Linked DNA regions of Cricetulus griseus. The protein of the gene in region 1 purifies or fractionates together with the protein of each later gene. This does not show direct contact. Links are inferred from orthologs where the notes say so. Each region holds a gene or a part of one and is shown on either strand. Other genes may lie near its edges.

Region 1 (3,332 bases):
GTAAACTGAATCGCGGAGTGCACTTCTCCTGAAGTCCCCTAAAGACCCCCGACCCCAACGGCGGTCCCTCCTCCTTACCCCCTCCTGCCCGGGTACGGCGCATGCGCGCAGCATGCCCCCCATGACCCCCAGTATCCGGTCAGTGCGGCCAGGGGTGGGGCGGTCCGGGGGCTTCATGCTGGACCCCTACCCTGCTTCAGGTTTCAGGGCCGAGGGGCTACGGAAACTGGGGGGCTCTGAGGCCTGCGTGCGTCCGGGGAGTTGCTACCGCCGAATCCGCCCCCCTGCCCGGCTCCGCCCCGACTCCCACCGCAGCCAAACTTCGCAAAAAGGGTAGGGTTGGTCCTTTCTCCACAAACGGAGTTGAACAACAAACAAACCCCTCTTAATCCGGATTCCATCCATCGGAGTGTGGCCTAGGGCTCTGCAGGGTTATTGCAGCGCCCCGCACTTGTTCCATCCTGTTCCCCAGGGTCCCAGGAGGTAAAGGGGCTGTGCAGGCATGCGAGGATTCCCATTCCCTCATCTCCTTCTCAGCGGGTCCTGCTCCCCACCTCCACCCTGTCCAAGGAACAGAGGACGGGTGTGGCATAGAGTTGCATATTTTACTTTATTTTTATTAAATTAAAAGCTACAGTCTGGCAGCAATTCCAGAACAGGGTGAGGAGGCTCCTTATAGGGGCAGAGAAGAGCGAGAGAAAGACTGACAGACAGACACAGGAGAGAAAGGATCCGTTAAGGTAGGACTACTGTTATCTTAACACACAGCTGGCTGGGGGGGAGCGGGAGGCAGCTCATATCAGTCCAAGGTGAACCAGTACCGTATTCAGGGGCTGGAGTTGAAGAGACCTCCATCGTCCCTACCCAGATCCTTTCCCAGCTCAGTGACTGGAGCACAGTACATACCAGGAAAAGCCACAGACACTGGAGGGGCAGGGGGCAGAGAGAATATGTACACGGGGAATGCAGGGAGGGGAGCCTGGGAAGCCAGCCTCTGCCGGAGGGGAGTGGCTCAAAGGGCACTGGAGCACTTGGCCAAAGGGGGGCAGGGGAAGGGACTGTCCCCTTCCCCACTGAACTCCCACCCCAGTCAGACAAATCCCCTCGTGGGTGGTGTGGGGGCAGAGAAAGAGAGAACAGAGGCTTCTGTTGGATCCCAGTAGAAGAGGACAGCAGGGGCCTTGGCAAAGGGGATGGTGTCCTTCAGTCATCTGTGATACCCTTGGCTCTCAGTTCCTCTTGCACCCTAGTCAGGTAGGTGGGGTCCGGATACCCAAACCTGGGGCAAAGAGAAATGGGGGTCGGGGTTAGCTGGGTGGACTTGTTCATTAATACCCACCCTCATTTTGAGTGACTCAGTAGAGGCCAAATTCAGACCCCTCCCCAGTTCCCATGAGGAGGGAACCTCCAAAACCAAGATAGGCCAGAATCTGCAGGCTTTTTGTTTTGTTGCAGCTGAGTACATGGGGACTAGGATGAAAACAGAGTGAGGGAGGTGGGTGATCTCCAGTTAGGAGACTCCCAGCGGAGGGGGTAGATGACTCTCCCAGAGTGGAAATGGAGAGAGGGGAGGGAGCAGGGGAGGCAGATGAGGAGGAGGCGCACAGCTGGGGTCCCCCTGTGCAGCTGGTCTTGTGGTGAATGTCGTTCCACGTGATGACATTGGGTCTCCCTGTAGTCATGGACGTGCCGATGGTGAAGGTGAGACGTTGGTCAAAAGCCTTCCGGAACAGGGTCAGCACCTTGTTGCCCTCGGGGCAGTCCGGGAGGTAGGCCACCCGTGTGGTACCAGGATACCGAACTCCTGGGTTCGGGTGTTCAGCCTGAGTGGAAGAAGAGACAGAGTAGGCGGAGGGCAGCTGGCCACCTCAAAGGTCTGGGCACCAGCAGAGGGTCATTCTGGCCAGTCTTTTTGTGCATTCCCAACAGACCCACAGCCTTCCAGGAAAAGATGGCTTTGGGGTCTGGGCAGTAAGCCTGTTTCTGGACATAATTCTTAATTGTTAATCCCTCAAGTCTCAATTCGGGAACAAATGGACTCTCAGAAGCAATGGAGGTTACTTTCCAGACAACTCAGCAAAAATTCGACAACAAGAAAAACTTATCTTTCGGCATTCCCTCTACCTATAATACTAATGCTTCTGCCACTGCCTCGTGTTTCCATGCTTCCGTTTCTTCCCTTCAGTTCCAGCTGTACACAACTCTGTCCAACAGAAAGACGTTTACCTGCAACTCTAGTCGAGCGTTTATTGTCTCATACTCTGGAACAGAGTGGCACCCCAGCGCTCGGCATGGCCAGGTCCCTTCCTTCCTGGTGTGCCTGCCTGTATCTGGGTCACCAACTCCAGACTTTCCCTCCACGGAGAATGCCTGTCATAGCCACATGAGTCCAGCTACTAGTGTTCAAGCCTTTCTGTCAGACATGACTTCGAGGTTTTTTTTTTCCTTGTTTGATTTGGTTTTCTTGGGGGCAGGGATTGAACTCAGGGGTCCCCATCTTATAGAGAGGCGCTCTACCACTGAACTACACTCTAACCCCCATTCTTGAGTTTTACATTTGCCTTTGGGTCATGGTGATAAAAAAGCTGGGCCTCAAGAAGACAGCCCCCGCCCCCAGCTCCAGAGCACCAATTCCTAAAGCATGCTGGGAAACAGCAAGACTGTGTCAAGTCTAATGACATACTCCCCGAATAACCTATTTTTCTTAGGTCAGAAAGTGAACTAATAGGCAGGGAGAACTGTGCTCTTCTTACCCCCTGGACACCGGGCGGGAAGACATACTGGATGACAATGGTGCCGTACTTCTCATAGCTGGGTAGCAGGAGGGTGGCATCCTTGGAGACCAGCATCCGTCCGTTCTGGGGCTGGTTGCCCACAAGCTGCCCATAGAATCGGCCACACATGGGGCAGGCTTTTTTCACCTGCAGGGCCCGTGTGATGCAGCCCTCGCAGAATGAGTGCCGGCACTTCTCCAATGTCTTGGCATTCTGGATCTCCCCCAGGCAGATGGGGCAGGTGCTTTCCTGTTCTTCAGCCTCCTCCCTCAGACGAGGAGGAAGTGGAGGGGGCAGGGGGGGAGGAGGAGGGGGGAGCCCTCTTGCCCCTGGAGGCAGGAGTGGGGCTGCTCGAAGAGGAGGCGGACCTGGGCGGTGCAGCTCAGGGTGCTCCCCACCACCCCCCAGAGCCAGGCAGCCCATGAGCTCCCCCTGCCTCTGAGCTTTCTTCAGCTCCTTCTCAGCCTCTTTCAGTAACCCCTTGAGAGCCTTGCGGGCCAGGTAGAGCCCATTGGGAGGGGCTGGGGGAGGACCCTGTGGGGAGAGCTGGAGCACGTA
Region 2 (3,815 bases), on another chromosome or scaffold:
AGCCAGGGCTACACAGAGAAACCCTGTTCCAAAACTAAAAAGAGTGCTGTTGTCTGCAGTTCACCAGAACCAATTTCCTGAAACTTGGATTTGATGTTAGTATCTTGCTTTAAATCTTTGATCTAGCCAGGCAGTGGTGGCACACTCCTTTAATCCCAGCACTCAGGAGGCAGAGGCAGGCAGATCTCTTAGTTTGAGGCCAGCCTGGTCTACAGAGTGAGTTCCAGGAGAGCTAAGGCTGCACTGAGAAATCTTGTCTCAAACCCCCCCCAAAAAAAAAAAAAAAAACCTTTGACATGCTTTTGAGAACTTTTGCCACCCAAGTGCTGGGATTAAAGGTGTGCCCTACCACCACCTGCCAAGAAACACTTTCTAGAATTTGGTTTCCTTAGAGAATTGTCAGCCTGAGCCTCCCTCCCTCCCATATATCTTCTCTCTTTGATGTTTAACTTACCTGACTGTGAGTAAAGTTCCCTTGACACTTTTGAATTTGGGGTTGGTATTTGTTTGCTTTGTTCTTCGAGACAGGGTTCCTCTGTGTAGCTCTGACTGTCCTGGAACTTGCTATATGAACCAGGTTAACTTCAAACTCAGAAAGAGCCTCCTGCCTCTTCCTCCTGAGTTCCGGGACTGAAAAAAATTTTTTTCTTTTTTTCCTGTTTTTTGTTTTTTTTTTTTTTTTCACCAAGCATAGACTGAAAACAATTTTTAAAAAATATTTAACTTTATGTGCATTGGTGTAAGGATACCAGATCCCCTGGAACTGGAGTTACAGACAGGTGTGGGCTGCCATGTGGGTGCTGGGAATAGAACCCAGATCCTCTGGAAGAGCAGCCACTGCTCTTAACCACTCTCTAGCCCCCAGTTGTGATCTTTTAAGGCCGACCCAGAGGCTGCTTCTGAGGTCTGACCAGCCCTGTACTTGGGTTGTAATTAGCTCCACTGTGTGTGTTCCCATGCTTTGCTTTCACCTCTGAATTCTACTTCCTGTTTGACACATGCTGGATACCCAGTTAAGTGTTTGCTATTCATGGCCCATTCTCCAGCAGTCCTCCAGGTGGGTATGACATCTTCCTTTCACACAGAAGAAAACCGGGTCAGGAAACCCCACCAAGACTCCCTAGTGACAGGAACTAAGCTTTGAAGGCCCAAGCATGCCTTTCTCCACATAGTGGAGTGTTTGAGTGTGTGTGTGTTCTCCATAGTGTCCCCAGTGCCAGCTACAGTTTTCTTCTGTCCTGAAAGCGATTAGTATTTTATTTGAGTAAGAGTAGGAACACTAGACTGTTCAAATCCATTATTCATTGGTGTCTTTTAAAGAGGTGACCCACTTTTGTTGTCTTGTCTCTTTGCATGACAGAGGTTCTCTGTATGTCTTGTTCTAGCTTTTGCTCTGCATGCCTGCAGGAATGTCTGAAGCCGAAGAAACCTGTCTGTGGGGTGTGTCGCAGCGCTCTGGCACCTGGCGTCCGAGCTGTGGAGCTCGAGCGACAGATCGAGAGCACAGAGACTTCTTGCCATGGCTGCCGTAAGAATGTATGTGGACATAACATGGAGAGTCCTTGTCTTTCAGTGATGAGATGGTAAAACAGTGCAAGTGTCTGAAGTTAGAGCCTGGAGTAGTGATAAGAGCACAAGTGCATGCCTGCTGTTTGTGGTGGCTGTGCTGCTGGGGTTTTATTTTTTCCACAAGCTTGCTGGGGTTTTTTGTTTGCTTGTTTGTTTTTTTCATGAGTTGGTTTAGTGATTTATAGATTTTACCTTTGAAATCCATAGAAATAAGCTTCCACCCCCATAAAAGACCCATCTTCAGTTGGGGAGTGGTACATACCTCTACTCTAAGCACTTGGGGACAGAGGCAGCAAAGCTAGGAGTCCTGAAACATCCTAGGTTACCGAAGACCTACCTCAAAGTGTTAACTCTCGTGTGCTTTCTATTTTAATTAGAATATAAGGGTATTTCATGATTTTTAAAAATGTATATAAAATGAAGTTAGTGTCTCAAAACACCTGAGGCTAGGGGTGTAGTTCAGTAGAGTGCTTGCCTAGCATGCAAAAAGCCCTGGTTTCTATCCCAGCACTCTGTGTGGTAACGGGAAGATCCAAAATTCAGGGCCAACCTAGTATACATGACTGTTTCAAAACAAGAAAAGAAAAATCTGCACTGAGCTCAAAGGAAAGCTTTCGTAACCTGTCTCTGGACTCATAAATTCACTGGTTCTGTTTTAAGCCTTGAAAGACCCTGAGTTAGGGGTGTGAGGTGGAGAGTGCACTAGTAGTGTCTACCTACCAGTGGGCTGTGCCCGTGCCTGTGGTGTGCTTGCTTGCACAGCTCACTGCTGCTGGGAGCACAGATAACTGGTACTTTATCTTCCTTATTGATTTTAAGTCATTACAGTTTTATATTCCAGACAGTAAAAAAAATAAATAAAACACCACTGTTTGTTCCTCCATCAATCCCTCTTTGAAAGGTGGATCAGTTGGCTGTATGGTATTGCACACTGGTGACCCTGGCACCCAGGCTGAGGCCAAAGGATAGTTTTGCATTTAAAAAGCTGTTCAGCACTTTATACCTTTAGGTGTAAATGTGTACAAACACAGTGAGGGCACACACCCCTGCTACTTAAATTCTTTCTTTCTTTTTTTTTTTTTTTTTTAAGATTTATTATATATACATCATCCTGCCTCCACGTATGCCTGCACACCAGAAGAGGGCACCAGATCTCATTACAGATGGTTGTGAGTCACCATTTGGTTGCTGGGAATTGAACTCAGGACCTCTGGAAGAGCAGCCAGAGCTCTTAACCTCTGAGCTATCTCTCCAGCCCTCTTTCAACTTTATATTTGAAATTTTTGTTTTACTTCTTAGATAGCTTTGTACTTCGTCATCTTTGTTTTGCTTTTTTAGACAAGGTCTCATCATCTGGCTAGCTCAGACCTTGCTATGTAGACCAGACTGAACTTGAACTCAGAGTTCCATCTGCCTCTGCCTCTCAAGAGCTGCAGCATTAATAGGCATGAGTTACCACAGCCAGCTGAGTCTCATTATCTCTTTATTTCCACAGTCTCAATGCTACCACTGGCTGGCTTGTTTGGTTTGTTGGGAGTTTTGCTTTTGTTCTTTTGAGACAAGGTTTCTCTGTGTAGTTCTGATTGTCCTCAAGCTCTATATGTAGATGAGGCTGACCTGAGACTCAGTGAAGACCCACCTGCCTTTGCCTCCAGAGTGCTGGGATTAAATACTTATACCACCATGCCCAGGTTGGTGGGTGGTTGGTTGGATTTTTTTTTTTTCTTTCGTTAAAAAAAGGTTGGCCTTAAACTGATCTTCTGCCTCCATCTCTGAAGTGTTGAGATTACAAATGTGAGCAGTCATGCCTAGCAAGCTTCTTTCTCTCCTCCCTTTTATTTACTTAAGATTTATTTACTTCTATGTATATTGGTGTTCTGCCTCCATTTATGTCTGTATGAAGGTACCAGATCCCCTGAAACTGGAGCTATGACAGTTATGAGCTGCCATGTGGGTGCTGGGAATTGAACCTGGGTCCTCTGAAAGAGCAGCCGGAGGCCTTAACCATTGAACCATCTCTATAGCTCTTTGTTCTTTTACCCAGGGTCTCTTGCACCCTCAACTGGTCTCAGACTCATTTTGTCTAGGAATAACCTTGAACTCTGAACTTTGAGCATTGCAGTGTAGATGACCGTCGAATGGATGTATCTTTTCCCCTCCGTATTTCCAGAGGGGTTTAGTATTGGATGCACTGTGAGACTCTTACAGTGTCTATACAAGCCCATTACAACATTTATTTTCAGGCT

The links.
Region 2: the proteins of Dtx3 (region 1) and Rnf114 purify together in Homo sapiens (affinity purification with mass spectrometry; 3 studies listed by BioGRID and IntAct, counting the BioPlex papers as one, with this or other methods). This does not show direct contact. The link is inferred for Cricetulus griseus from reciprocal best matches to the Homo sapiens genes DTX3 and RNF114.

The regions. Positions count from the first base shown.
Region 1 is NW_023276806.1:130,523,854-130,527,185, reverse strand, and holds the end of Dtx3 (probable E3 ubiquitin-protein ligase DTX3), read right to left. Parts: coding exon 2,754-3,332; intron 1,824-2,753; coding exon 1,356-1,823; 3' UTR 1,280-1,355; coding exon of another isoform or gene 1,204-1,279; 3' UTR 592-1,203; downstream 1-591. UniProt on the Homo sapiens protein: Regulator of Notch signaling, a signaling pathway involved in cell-cell communications that regulates a broad spectrum of cell-fate determinations.
Region 2 is NC_048599.1:11,903,222-11,907,036, reverse strand, and holds part of Rnf114 (E3 ubiquitin-protein ligase RNF114), read left to right. Parts: intron 1-1,385; coding exon 1,386-1,536; intron 1,537-3,815. UniProt on the Homo sapiens protein: E3 ubiquitin-protein ligase that promotes the ubiquitination of various substrates. In turn, participates in the regulation of many biological processes including cell cycle, apoptosis, osteoclastogenesis as well as innate or adaptive immunity.